Linked DNA regions of Elephas maximus indicus. The protein of the gene in region 1 interacts with the protein of each later gene in a pairwise test. Links are inferred from orthologs where the notes say so. Each region holds a gene or a part of one and is shown on either strand. Other genes may lie near its edges.

The links. The genes of interacting proteins can lie anywhere in the genome.
Region 2: the proteins of IPCEF1 (region 1) and CYTH2 interact in binary tests that used the Homo sapiens proteins (3 or more experiments, as listed by UniProt). The link is inferred for Elephas maximus indicus from reciprocal best matches to the Homo sapiens genes IPCEF1 and CYTH2.

The regions. Positions count from the first base shown.
Region 1 is NC_064819.1:226,120,266-226,127,293, reverse strand, and holds the start of IPCEF1 (interactor protein for cytohesin exchange factors 1), read left to right. Parts: upstream 1-4,025; 5' UTR 4,026-4,072; coding exon 4,073-4,091; coding exon of another isoform or gene 4,092-4,132; intron 4,133-7,028. UniProt on the Homo sapiens protein: Enhances the promotion of guanine-nucleotide exchange by PSCD2 on ARF6 in a concentration-dependent manner.
Region 2 is NC_064829.1:98,806,341-98,813,901, forward strand, and holds the start of CYTH2 (cytohesin-2), read left to right. Parts: upstream 1-4,558; 5' UTR 4,559-4,742; coding exon 4,743-4,761; intron 4,762-5,604; coding exon 5,605-5,752; intron 5,753-5,842; coding exon 5,843-5,909; intron 5,910-6,893; coding exon 6,894-7,012; intron 7,013-7,561. Other genes in the region: KCNJ14 (ATP-sensitive inward rectifier potassium channel 14), read left to right, coding at 333-890. UniProt on the Homo sapiens protein: Acts as a guanine-nucleotide exchange factor (GEF). Promotes guanine-nucleotide exchange on ARF1, ARF3 and ARF6. Activates ARF factors through replacement of GDP with GTP.

The sequences.
Region 1 (7,028 bases):
TTCCATCTTCCAGAAATCTGTTGTGATCTCTCTAATGCTCTTCCTTCTTCTTTTTTAATTTTTATGTGTATTTGTATTTTTTTTAAACTTTTCCTATCATTTTAAGGAGTCCCTGGGTGGTACAAAAGGTTAATGCATCCTGATGGTAATGGAAAGATCGGAGGTTCTAATGCATCCAGAGGTGCCTTGGAAAAAAGGCCTGGCGATTTAATTCCAAAAAATCAGCCACTGAAAACACTATACAGCACAGTTCTACTCTGCCATACATGGGATCCCCATGAATCAGAACTGACTTGGGGACAGCTGTTTTATTTTTATTTTAAAGGGGTCTTGGAAAGGAAGGAAGGGGGCAAAAAGGTTCTGTCATTAGCCCACCATCTTGAATTAGAAGTCCAATCTCCTTGAGGATTACTCCAATTTTATACATCAGGGGATCTATACTTAAAGAATTTAAGTGACTCCAACCCTGACCCCATAATTATGAATAACATGCCCTTTGATGATGGCATCTAAAAATCTAGTGAGAAACAAGCCTCTGCTATTGATGTTACTAAATACCTTAACACCATCTAACACTTTTTGGATGCCACATAAAGCAAGGAACTAGGGCAGCAACTCATGTGGGGAGAAGATGAGGTCGTAGTTCCCAGAAACAGAAGTTCACAGAAATGGGAAGCCATTGAGAGAATTTTATTGTGTTTCTGGTCAAAATGTACAGCATCTTCTTTTTCTTCTTCTACTCCTCTGCAAATTTAATTTAAATTATCTTCTTGTGGAAAGAATATAAAGACAATGAGAAGAAGTCAGAAACCAGAGACTGAAGCAGTTTTCAAACTATGATCTATTCCTCAAAGGTCATAGCTTTTTACCAGATACTAACTTTGTTTATATAGTATCTCTTCCTCTGACTCCCCAATGTTATTTATTTTTAACACAGTTTTTTTTTTTTTTTAATTGATATTTGGCTTGTGAGGTATGGGGTATGTTGGGACGTAGGCCATGTTTAATCTATAAATTAAAAATCTCCTGGCCATTAAAAGCCAAGACATAAAACATGCCATACAAAGGATATCCACTTTGCTTTTAGAAATGTTGTCCATAATCTTTTGCAAGTTACATCGACAATCAAGGGACACTGGTTTCTGTCTGGAATGCCAGATGTTACAAGCATATCATTAAATTAGGCAGATCTAAGGTCAATGGAATTCTTTACTTCTCTACCCTGAATGATCCTTTTCTCCTTGGGCCCAGTTATCTGCAGGCCAGGAAACAGACCATCTATTTGCCCCGGCCCAAGCTGTTTGTTACGGATCGAATTGTGTCCCCTAAAAATGTGTGTTAATTTGGCTAGTTCATGATTCCCAGTACTGTGTGATTATCCACCATTTTGTTATCTGATGTGATTTTCCTATGTGTTGTAAATTCTACCTCCATGATGTTAATGAGGTGGGAATAGCAGCAGTTATATTAATGAGGCAGGACTCAACCCACAAGATTAGGTTGTGTCTTAAATCAATCTTTTCTGAGGTATAAAAGAGAGAAGGAGCAAGAGAGACAGGTGGACCTCATATCACCAAGAAACAAGAGCCAGGAGAATAACCCTAGATCCAGGTTCCTGCACTGAGAAGCTCCTCAACCAGGGGAAGATTGATGACAATGACCATCCCCCACAGCCAAGAGAGAGGGAAAGCTTTCCCCTGGAGCTGGCACCCTGAATTTGGACTTCTAGCCTCTTGGACTGTGAGAGAATAAATTTCTGTTTGTTAAGGCCATCCATTTGTGGTATTTCTGTTACAACAGCACTAGATAACTAAGACACAGTTCATACTTAAAAGCAAGCTAGAAGAAGTGATCTGCCTTTATACCATGGGGGTTCCCTGGGAGCTACAGGCAATGAAGTCCTGCTGGCAGGGTAGGATTACCCTGTAAGCAAGGCATGCACAGGCCCAGTTGTGCCTTCTCACCAATCTGCAGTGTACAATTTCACCTATCTCCTACATGGCAAAGATGTGGTGAAACCCATGTGAAATTGCTCACCACAGGTTAGCAAGTAAATACAATCAACCCCATACATGCCAGTGTATACCTTGCTTGCTGGTCAATCCACCCCTGCCTGCTGGTCAGTTTTAGGAAACAGCAGATTCATTGAGTGTCTCAAGAAGGAATGCCAGGTGTCCAGAATTCTGATCCTAATGGGATGAATGCTTAAAGTGACTATGTAAAGCCACAGAGAAAGGTCTAAATCTGTGCTTGGCTTATAGCCTTCTCATGCTTGTGGTTAGGTGAACATTCATCCCTCGGAATCGATTCGATGGCACTGGGACTGGGTTATTGACATTGCATCCATTACCTTCCAGATTCTTGGTTAATTTTATAGTTTAGGTTTTTGTTTGTATGTTAACTGGTCTGTTTCTTGGAGATGGAATGATGGGGATCATTAGTTTCTAGGCCTGACCAGTGTGAGCTTGGTAATGACTAAGGTAGGGTGCCCCAAATATCATGCCTGGATGAAAGTCTCAGACGTTGTCTCAGAGGTATAACTATATAAATGATTTTACCCTTAGATGGGACTTCCCTTTTGCTCATATTTGGCTTGAGAGGTGCAACTTGAGTTTAGATAAAAGTTCTACACAGTATGGTGGGCAGACTTCTGAGGTAGTCCCAGTGACCCCACCTCCTGGTCTTCACATCTTGGATGATCCTTTCTCTTGAGTATAGACTGAGCCTAGTGAGTCACTTCCAACAAAGAGAATATGAAATAGAATATGGCAAAAGCAGAGATATCACTTTTGAGAATCAGTTACAAAAGTGACTTATGTCTTTCTCATACTCTCTCCCGTTTTCTTTCACGCTCTCATTTGTTCTCTCTAATGAAGCCAGTTGCCATGTTTTGAGCTGAGCTAAGGAGAGGTCCATATGGGGAAGAACTCAGGGTGGCTTTGGGCCAATAGCTAGCATTGGACTGAGAACCTCAGTCCAGTAGCCCGTGAGAAACTGAATTCTGCCAACAACCACGTGAGTAAGCGTGGGGGTGGATCCTTCCCCAGTCAGCCTTGAGATGACCGGAGCCCCAGCTGATACCTCATTGCAGCCTATAGAGACCCAGCTAGGCTGTGCCAGCTTCCTGACCCACAGAAACCAGGTGATAATAGAAGTTAGTTGTTTTAAACATCTAAATTTGGGGATAATCTGTTATGCAGAGATAGATAGCTAATCCACATGCTAAGGATACAGCTACTACATTTTGGAAGACTATGCTGGCCTGTTTCTAATGGTTTATTTCCTTTTCTTTGAAAGCAGAGAATAAATAAAGTGAGACAGTATGCTTTCCCCAAGAAAGTATAATGAAAAGATGCTGATGTTGAAAAGGAGAGGTTAAGATAGGCCTGAGGCAGGGTGAGGAACATATTGGAGTTAAGTTCAAATATTTTTAACTTTTAGCCAATTTCCTTTTCTAGCGTGTGGAAGAAAAGCTTTGATTTTAGAGAATCTGTTGTGAGTGCTGGGAAAGAACGGTAGACTAAGACTTATTTTTATCTTAAAATGCTTTTCACAAATTTATCAGTGCCCTCTTTATTGAGTAAACTGTTATGCAGAGTTGGGAGAGGTCAAGGAAGGGAAACTGTGAGGGAAATGGGAACCTGAATGGGGTTGATGGTTAACAAGTGGCATCTCAACCTACCATGATGAAAATGGCTCTACAAATGATCTCACCCTGCAAGCTTGGGAGAAAACATCTTTGCCTCCAAAACAGGAAAGTGAAGCCATGTCATAATGTTTTGTATATGTGTCCTGGGAAGGGATACACTCGGTAGTGTTTGGTGACAAATGGAGCCAGACAGCTAGGGTGTGCCTGTGTTGCGTGCATTGTGTCCTGCGTATTGGAATCAAGGAAGGGCTCAATAATGATAAGAAGGAAGAACAATGAAATTGAGGAAGTAAGATGACACTTCCTCTTCTTTCGCAAGAGCTTCATTCTCTGGTCAAATTCTAATGGTAGTCCTGTGTAGACTGAGCTGTGAAGCTGGAGCTGCTTAGAGAGCAGAACCCTCAGCCTCTGCCTCAGAGTATTATGAGTGCTGTGAACTCAGGTACAAAGAACCAGCTCTTGGATTTACTCTTTTTCTTGCATGTAAGTAAAGTCACGCCTTGGCTGATGTCTAAGAAGTAATTGCTTGGCCTATCAAGATGGTAAAGCAACGGATACCTTAGCACGAGCTTTAGAAGAGTGAGTTCTGAAATGTGGCTCTTGGGATACAGCATTCACCCAGCTCTTCATAAACCTGCTGCTGTCAAGTCTAGTGCTAAAGGCGCTCTTGAATTTTGTCAGGGCTTTGAGGGAGACTCATGTACTCACTCTGCTTTTCTCTGTTTCTTAAATGGACGTTATATTGATAGCTGCTTGGGCTGTAGACTATGGGTTTGATTTAGAAAAGCACAATTCAGCATCGGTTTGGGGCCTGAGGAGTTTATTTGGGGAAACACCCTGTTGTCACCCTCTTTTGAGAAAGTGTGTTCTTTGTGGCTATCCCCCCTTTGTATGTAGGTGGCAAGGAGCCCTGGTGGCACAGTGGTTAAAGCAATGGGCTGCTAACCTAAAGATCAGGTTTTGAACCCACCAGGTGCTGTGGGAGAAAGGGGTGGAAGTCTGCTTCTGTAAAGATTACAGCCTTGGAAACCCTATGGGGCAGTTCTACTCTGTCCTATAAGGTCACCGTGAGTCAGATTCACTTGGCTTTCTTTGCTTGGGTAAATATGAAAGAAATTTAATTATAGGAGTCAGAGTTACAACCCACAAGGGCATAAATAACTCCAGTAGTGGACTTCATTAGTCCCTAGGGGCTTGTGTGTTCTCAGTACTGTTGTAGGCAATGTGCTATTGTACAATACCCTAAAAAGGCAGAGTCTGAATCCTCCAGAGCTGTTTATTTTACATAGAAAACAGAAACAGAAAGAACACGCATTTATTTCTGCTCACATCATGCAAGTGAGGAGGAAGAGGACTTAAGTTTGTGTACTTGTTGACGTTCTCCTTCTTTAATTTGCCTTTTCGTATAGCATCTTTTTTAGAGAGGGTCCATGTATAAATTATTTCAGGCAAGCTGCATTAAGCAAATACACATCATCGGAATATGGAAATAGGAAGTTCTTTCCTGCGGTAGTTGGCTGTGGCAATAAGAGATAAAACATTACTTCACGACTATTGCCTGAGACTTTCCTTTTGACTCGTGTATCCTTCTTGAACAGCTCACTTCTGCTTTCCCTCCAGCTTGGAGGCCAGGCGGGGTGAGCTGGTAACCAGAGCCCAGGCTGACAATTTGCAGGTAGAGTTAATACAGCTAGTGGTGTATGCATGTGTGAAGAAAATCCTAAACTGTAAGCCTTTTGCTTTTGAAGAAAACCCTGTAAGGAATTACTTTACCCCTAGCACTGAGAACAGTGCCTGCCACATCATATGCTCTCAATAACTATTTGTTGAATGAATGAATGGGGTCTTCATAAAACGAATACATTTGGGTAAACGAAAGCCAAACCTATTGCTGTAGAGTTGATTCCGACTCATAGCGATCCTAGCGGACAGAGTGGAACTGCCACATATGATTTCCAAGGAGCACCTGGTGGAATCAAACTGCTGACCTTTTGGTTAGCAGCTGTGGCTGTTAACCACTACGCCACCAGGGCTTCCAAAAAACTAAACCCATTGCCGTCCAATGGATTCCAACTCATAGTGACCCTGTAGTGGTGCAGTAGCTGTCACTTTATTTCTGTTACCTATGCATACAGGGGAATGCAGGTTGGAAGAGGTCAGAGTGAAGTAGGACAGGAAGGGAATATGAAGGTGTTTTGTAGGAAATAGTTGATAAGACGCCCTACCTCAACAAAGTGAAAAGGGTGGCAATGTGATGGTGGTCGGATGGTGAAGGTGGTAGTTGTGGTAGAGGTGAAGGTAAAGAATGTGAAGGTGGAGGTGGTGGTGGTGATGGCTGTGATGGTGGTAGAGTTTGAGGGGTGCTGGAAGTGGTCGAGGTGGTGGCTGTGATGGTGGTAGAGGTGGAAGTCGTGGTGGTAGAGATGGAGCTGGTGGTAGAGATGGAGATGGAGGTGGTATTGGAAGTGGTGGTGGTAGGGGTGGTGTAGATGATGGTACAGGTTGTGGTAGTGTTGAAAGTGGTGGTTGAAGTGGTGGACTTGGTGTTGGTTGTGGTGGTGGAGAGGACAGTGTGATATAGCAGGAAGAAAACGTATTTTTGGGGTCAGACACATCTGTTCAAAGTCTGTGTCTGCCAGTTAGCAGCTATATGACCTCTAAACCTGTATAACAGCCCTGTTGGCTCAGTGGCTAAGAAATATGGCTGCTAACAAAAAGGTTGGCAGTTTGAATCCACCAGCCACGCCTCGGAAACTCTTTGGGACAGTTCTACTCTGTTCTACAGGGTCACTATGAGTCGGAATCAACTTGATGGCAATGGGTTTGATTTCAATGGGTTTTATACTTTACCAAGCATGATATTCTTCTCCAGGGACTGGTTCCTCCTGATAACATGTCCAAAGTACATAAGACGAAGTCTTACCATCCTCGCTTCTAAAGAGCATTCTGGCTGTACTTCTTCCAAGACAGATTTGTTAGTTCTCCTGGCAGTCCATGGTATATATTCACTATTCTTCACCAACATCATAATTCAAAGGCATCAATTCTTCTTCAGTTTTCCTAATTCATTGTCCAGCTTTCGCATGCATATGAGGCGATTGAAAATATCATGGCTTGAGTCAGGCACACCTTAGTTCTCAAAGTGAAATCTTTGCTTTTTAACACTTTAAAGAAGTCTTTTGTAGCAGATTTGCCCAATGCAATATGTCATTTGCTGCTTCCATGGGGATTGTCTGTAGATGCAAGTAAAATGGAATTCTTGACAACTTCAATCTTTTTTCTGTTTATCATGATGTTGCTTATTGGTCCAGTTCTGAGGATTTTTGTTTTCTTTATGTTAAGGTATAAGCCACACTGAAGGCTATATAGTCTTTGATCT
Region 2 (7,561 bases), on another chromosome or scaffold:
GCCCGCCCGCCCCTGTTGGGGGGCACTGCCTGGGGAAGGGTTGGGCCCTTCGCAGGGTTGGAGGGCGAGCCCTGGGGCATTGTGGGAGATGTAGGCGTGCATATGCGGTGCGCGTCGCGCCTGGAAGACCCTTCGACTATACCTCCCAGAAGCCTCGGGGCAGGGAACGTGTCCAAATGGGGTAGACTGATCAAAAACCAAAACACCACCACTCCCCTTCACTGGTGGTCTCCGCTCTCCCCTTTCTCTGCATTTCAATTCCTTCCTCTCCCTGTCTCTGTTCCTCTCTGTGCTCCCTGCTCACTGTCTTTGGTCCCTCTCTTTTGTTGCAGCCCCGTGTGACCCCGGAGGGTGAATACATCCCACTGGACCACCAGGACGTGGACGTGGGCTTCGATGGTGGCACCGATCGCATCTTTCTCGTGTCTCCCATCACCATCGTGCATGAGATCGACTCTGCCAGTCCCCTGTACGAGCTTGGCCGTGCGGAGCTGGCCCGGGCTGACTTTGAGCTGGTGGTCATTCTTGAGGGCATGGTAGAGGCTACAGCCATGACCACACAGTGCCGCTCCTCCTACCTCCCTGGTGAGCTGCTCTGGGGCCATCGTTTTGAGCCAGTCCTCTTCCAGCGTGGCTCCCAGTATGAGGTCGACTATCGTCACTTCCATCGCACTTATGAGGTCCCAGGGACGCCTGTCTGTAGCGCGAAGGAGCTGGATGAACGGGCAGAGCAGGCATCCCACAGCCCTAAGTCTAGCTTCCCTGGCTCCCTGGCTGCATTTTGTTATGAGAACGAACTGGCTCTGAGCTGGTGCCAGGAAGAAGAGGAAGAAGAGGAGGCCAAGGAAGGGGATGGGGCAGAGGCAGAAGATGGGACTGCCAGTCACTGAGTTCTCACACTGATCCTGGCGGTGATCCTGCTTCCATGACATGAGCTGGTAGCACCCATCTGTGCCTCCTTCCCAGAGGTCGCAAGATGGAGAGATGGGGCCCTCTCTGGGATGGGGTTGGTGTTTTCCCAAGGCTGACATGCCTGCTGGGTAAATTATTATCTGGTCAGGCCCTGCCATGCCTGGAGGACCCACCATGGACATACTGGACCTTAATTCCTCTGCATTCCATGGTCCCTCCTGAGACCCCCCTCCCCCATTATAAGCCTCATTCCTGTGTCTCGCCAGAGCTGAGGGATCCAGAATCCTGGACCACCCAAGAGGCCAGGACTAGTGGTTCTGGATTCCTCTGTACGGCTGGTCCTGGGTAATTGGAATCAGTGGGTCAGGAATCAGTTGTCTACGCCATCTCTAGGAGAGGAAGTTGGCAGTTATTGAACAGCAACAAAGATAAAGAGTTTGTAGGTCTGAACTGGCCTAAGATTCGAGGGACTCACCCAACAGCTTCCAGACTCACCCACCTGAGTAGCAAATCATTGGTTCTAGATCACTCAAAGAGGGAAGGTTATGGAATGCCCCAAGTATTCAAACCCCTCTCAACTGACCAAAGACAAGGACTGGTTACTGCAAGCCAAAAGAAGACCTTGTGGTTCCTGAGAGCCCAAGAGTTGAGATTTTGTGAATCTAGACCAGGTTTGATCTCAGGAGTTGAACCACCCCAGAAATTAAAGAGTTATGTTTCTAGAATGCACAAAGCAATGGGGGAGTCCGTGGGTCTAGGAGGACTAAAGTGACAGATTGGGAGTGACAGATTGGGAGTTCTTGATATTAGATAACTCAGACACTGTTGAACATCCACTTGAGAGAATAATCAATGCTTCTAAATGACCCATAAGACGTTGGAAAAAAAAAAAAAAGTGCCATTCTAGAATACTGAAAGGAATTCAGATTCTGTGGGTCTCGACTGATCAGAGTCAAGAAAATGATGGTTCTAGAAGTCTAAGGTTTGCTGGTTCCACTTTGCCCAGTGGAGTTGAGAATCTCAATGATTGTGGATTATGAACTGATAGAACAAACTTCTTTGTGGTTCTGTAATGCCAAAAGGAATCAAGGCTCTAGGGATCCAGAGTTGTCCATTACCAAAGCCTGGAAGTTCAAATCACCTCCAGATGGGATGCTTGGCCATTCTAGGAGATGCACTCAGGAATTGAGAAGCAGCATTTCTGGGCTGTCCAGGAAGGCGAGGGCCCAGATAAGACCCTGTAGGCAACAGGGCTAGTTAGTGGTGAGTCTAAAATGCTCTGGAATCCTACACCTAGTTATGTGTATATATTTCTTAAAGATGTTATACACGTATGTATCATATATATATAATATAAATACAGATATCTATTTTTCTCCCCTGGTTCCTACAGGAGGGTAGAAATTGAACTTGAGGTCACTGGAACAAGTCTTTACAAGACTCCAAGAAGCTTTTCTCTATATCCCAACTCTGCCATAACTTACTTACTGTGTGACCTTGGGAAAATCACTCCCCTCTCTTCACCGCAGTTTCCCCATCTGTAAAATGGGGCATTGGAACTTGAAGATTCCTAAGAGCCCTTCCAGCAGGATGGTTCTTCACCTCACCGAAGGTGGGGTGGAGGTGAGGGTCCTGGGTGTTTCACAGCTCTCCCTGGTGTTGGCACACCTGGTCTTCCGGGGTGGCTGGGAAGGGAGATGCTCATGGAAGCTAGGTGTCTAAATCATGGCACATGCAATGGGTAGTGTGTGGGCTGTGGCCAAGGGCCAGTTCACCTCCTCCTTGGCGGCTGGGGATGGAGGGGTGAGCTCGGAATGCCAGGGATCGTCCCGCTGTGAGGACAGTGTGTTTTGGGGGGGGGGCGAGAGCTTCCCCTGAGATTAAAGAACTGGGAGCCCTCATGGGTGTGTTTGTGAGTATGTTTCTGGGACACTGGTCCTCGGAGCTGGCCCTTGGCCCATGTTCCCATCTACCTAAGTACTCCGCAGGCCGAGAAGCAGCCGCAGAGAGTGCCAGTACCAGGGGGAGGACAGTTCCCGCCCCAGTGTCCCAGGACTGAGGACAGGCAGTCATTGCCATGAGCCTGCCCAAGTGCTGCATCAACCCAGGTCCCCCCCCCCCGTGTCCCTACCTCCCGTTTATGCTTCAGAATCCCCACTTAATGACCGGATGGGATTAATTAGCTGGCTTCTCTCCCAGTTTAGGGTGTCTGGGGTAGGGACTGGGGGCAATGGAAACATAGCTCTCAGGGTTATGGGGAAGAATGTTAAGATGGGGTGAAGGGACGGAGAGGGCGCTGTTTGGGAGAGGGGGCAGGGCTGGCACCATCTGGGTCTCCCCTGAGGAGGGCAGGGTTTGGGCTTCTCCTAAAGGTCACTGAGGAGATTAAGAGGCTCGGTGTCTAATCCGTCAGCTTAACCAGGTCCTGGCCCTGAATGTGTCCCCACCTGCCCAGCACAAGAACAGTGAAAGAGGACGAGGATGAGGTCCAGACATCCCCTCAGCCGGAGTGAGGGACCTGCCACTCAACAGGTTTCCCGTCTGGGTTCCTGCATCCGCTCCCCGCCCCCCCCCCCCCCGGCATGGAATGGGAAGGAGGGGCTGGGGAATGGGAGAGGCCTCCTATATGGGAGGATTTTTGAGAGGAGGGAAGAGTCTGAGAAAGGGAAGCGTATGGGAGAACAGACGAACCAGAGGGAAAGGACTCCGAGAGGGATAAGCCATCAGAGAGGTGTGAGGATGTGAGGAAAGGGGAGTTGTTTTAAGGGCAGGATGCTTGCGGAAGAGAGGACTCTTGGGAAGAGGTTGCTAGTGTAGGGGAGGATGCTGAGCTGAGGGGAGAAGTTTGAGGGTGGGAGGAACTTAAGAGGAGGGGAGGGGTGGGGCCTGAGAGGGAAAGGCGCCAGGAAGGCGGAGCTTGCGTTTTCACTATATTTGGCTTTCACTTGTTGCCTTCATCTCCGTAACAGATGGCTAGTAGCGCAGGGTCGTCCGAAAGAAAGAAAAAGTCTTTTGTTTCACCACTCCCTGACTCTAAAAAGCCTGAAGTGGATAGGGCGGTCTTGAAAGTGGTTAAAAATAAAAGGTCTGGAAGAAGGAGCGGGCAAAAACCAGGAAAAGGGTTTGTTTTTTTTTTTACGGGAGGAAGGAACTAAACCAAAAGGAAAGTGAGCCAAAAATGGCTACCGGTTGCCTGGCAACCGCAGCCTTCAAAAGCCAGCGTGGCCAGCTAGGAGGTGTGTCTCATTGAAACAACTGACAGTTTTGGCCCCGCCCCCTAGCAACAAGAGCCACAAAGTACCGTCCCTCAGCAACTAGAGGCGGGGCTCGGTTGAACTAGTCTCCTAGCACCAAGAGGCCTTGCGCAGGCGCACTTCTCCCTGCCCTAGTACTGTTGCACCTCCAGGCAACCCGTTCCGAGGCTTCTCATTGGCGGGCCATTCTGCCAAGCTCTTTCTTTTGTTCCGGAGGCGGGGCCTTGCGCCCTGCTCGCACTCCGATTGGCCCCACGTACCATCTACCTCCGGCCCAATAGGCCTACATCTACTTCTTGCACTCCCATTGGCCCTGGAGGACGGTTTTTGTTTCGGGGGCGGAGCAGACGAGAGGGCCCGCCGTGGATTGGACGGTGTCAAAACGGGGGGCGGTCCCTACTGGCGGGGCGGTTGGGAGGCGAAGGGAGAGTCTTTTCAGCGCTGAGGACTGGCGCTGAGGAGGCGGCGGTGGCTCCCGGGGCGTTTGAGCGGGCTCACCCGAGCCCGCGGGCCAACGCGGATCCCGGCCCGACTGGCGGGACCGCCCCGGACTCCCCGCGGGCCTTCCTAGCCGCCATGGAGGACGGTGTCTATGGTAGGTCGAGGAGGGGCGGGGCTGGCAGGGAAGCGGATGAAGCGTTTCTTCGCGAACGTTCTGCCGCGAACGTTCCCTCCCGGCGCGCGCCGCGCAGAGACGTTCGGCACTGTCGACGCCTGGCCTTTGTAGAATGCGGGCCGGGTTTCCGGCGGTGCCCGAGAGCGGGGCGTTCCAGGCCATTGTTTGGGCCGAGCCTGTTTCCGGTGGCGGCGGGAGGGGCAGAATGGAGTGGCGGAGGCGAGCCCGGGCGGAACCATCCCCGCCGGCGGGGCCCGGCGAGCCCAGTGCCTGCCGGGAGCGGGGAGGGGGCTGCTGGGGGTGGCCAACTGGAGAGAAATCTTGGGGCTTCCCGAGGTCCCGCAAAGGCGGGGGCCTTTGATGCCCCGCCCCCCTGGTGCAACTTTTGTAAGCAGTCATCAGCGTTCCTTGGCATAGTTACTTTTCATGGACCCAGGAGTCCGGACTCCTAGCTTCACTCAGCGCCCAGGAGCCCAGACACCTAGCTACCTCGCCAGTAATGAAGTCAGGAAACCAAGGCCTCGGCCTCCTCCCAAGTAATGGACTCAGAAGTTCAGGCTCCCAGCCCTTTGCTCCCCTAAACTTAATAATTTTCAGGCTCCCACTCCTCCTTCAGACTCAGGGGTCTGGGTGCCAAGTCCTCTCCTCCCCCAGGACTTCCTCCCCTGGACTGAAGAACCCAAGATCCCAGCCCCTTTTTTCCCCATAGACAAAGACGTCCTGATCCTCATCCTCCCCCTGGACTTCAGAGCCCTGTCCCCGGTGCCACCCTCCCTCCAGTCCCCCCAGGCCTGACCTCCAATCCCTGACTCCGGCCCCCAGAACCCCCAGACCTGACTCCAGAGGAGCGCATGGAGCTGGAGAACATCCGACGGCGGAAGCAGGAGCTGCTGGTGGAGATCCAGCGCCTGCGGGAGGAGCTCAGCGAGGCTATGAGCGAGGTTGAGGGTCTGGAGGCCAATGAGGGCAGGTGAGGGCCAGGGTGAGGGACATGGAGTGCAGGGCTTCAGGCGAGGGCTGCCCAAGCATTGATCTCTGACCCCATTCTCTGCCCCTGCAGTAAGACCTTACAGCGGAACCGGAAGATGGCGATGGGCAGGAAGAAGTTCAACATGGACCCTAAGAAGGTGTCTGGGGCCACAGGGGCTCGAGTCCTGGCAGGGGCTTCTGGTATCTCCAGGTTTCAGAAGTGTGATAGCTGTAGGTCTGCTCTAGGTGGACAGACTGGGTCTTCATCCCTGGATTTGGAAATTGGTTGTCCATTTGTTCTCTGAATGCTCATCAAGCATTCCAGCCTCCCAGCCTTTGCTTATGCTGTGTCCCCTGCCTGGGAGGTCCTCTTCCTCTTTCTTCTCACATTTCTGTACCCATTTCTGGTGTCACCTAGGGTCGTAAGAGGAACTTGGGTCTGGTAGGGGACGTGGACAGTGACATGCACAGAGGAGAGTTGACAGTACTCTGATAGAGGAAGGTAGTGGGGCCATGGATCAGGGAGGGCTTCCCAGGGGAGGGGACATTCAGATCACTTGTGAAGGATGAGTATATGGTCACCAGGTAGAGAAAGGACGTTCATGCAGTCATTCCTTTGACATCTGTTTCCTGAGGCCGCCCGGAGCTATGGCCCTATGCTAAGTAGGCAATGCTGAGGACCTAGCGAGGAGTAGACCTTGCCCTGCTCTCAGGGAGCCCCCAGACACAGTCGTCATAATTCAGAGCGATATAAAATGAGAATGGAGGTCCTCATGACGTGGGAGCAGCCAGAAGAGCCCCAGTTCAGCCTTTACTAGTTGGTGCCTGCTTAGAGTTTTTCACTTCGTCTTGCCTGAAGCATTTGGAGTTTGTTCAGTCGTTCAACAAACATTTATCCAGTGCCTCTTGGTGGCCGGGCCCTGTTCTCGGTGCTGGAATTCGCCAGGCAGAGGCAGAGGGGACGGCAAGTGCAAAGGCCATGAGGCGGTGGGATGGTCTTTGAGCACCTGTGAGCAGACTGAGAGTGAAACCTGGCCCTGCTCTGTTGAGAGTGGGGGTGGGCTGGGTTGCTGAGGTTCTGGAGCTGCAGGGGGGTGTGTCTCTCTGGCCCTTGGCACTGAGCCCCAGTGCCCACCCACCAGGGGATCCAGTTCTTGGTGGAGAACGAACTGCTACAGAACACACCCGAGGAGATTGCCCGCTTCCTGTACAAGGGCGAGGGGTTGAACAAGACGGCCATCGGGGACTACCTGGGGGAGAGGTGAGAGCATGCCGCTCCTGCCAGGCCCCTCCCTGCTTCACCTCATACCTATCTCCTGCCCCCTCTCTGCCAGCTCTTGGATGGACTGCCCTACAGCCTCCTCAAGAGGCCCTGATAGACAACAAATGACTGACTTGTCTTTCCTGCCCAGCTTTGATAGGAGGGCCTGGGACAGGCCTCAGGCTTTGTCTGGGGGAGCCTGGGACCACCAGGGGAGTATGGGAATGTCTGTAAACGTCTGGGGACGGTGGAGATTGTGAGCATTTAGGAGCATGAGAACCATGTATAGACAGGTGTGCGTGGGACTGTGAGGACATCTGGGGAGTGTGGGGACCATCTGAAAGTTGAGGGTACACGGGCTTGGACATCAGAGGTACCGGAGACCATCTGTGGACTCTGGGGGACATAGCCTGTCTGGACATCTAAGTTGCATGGAATTACCCGTGAAAGTTTGGGATGTGCACATCTGAGGTACATGGGACTGGACATCTGGGGTGCGTGGGGACCGTCTTGGCATCTGAGGTGCATGGTGATTGTGGATATCTGGGG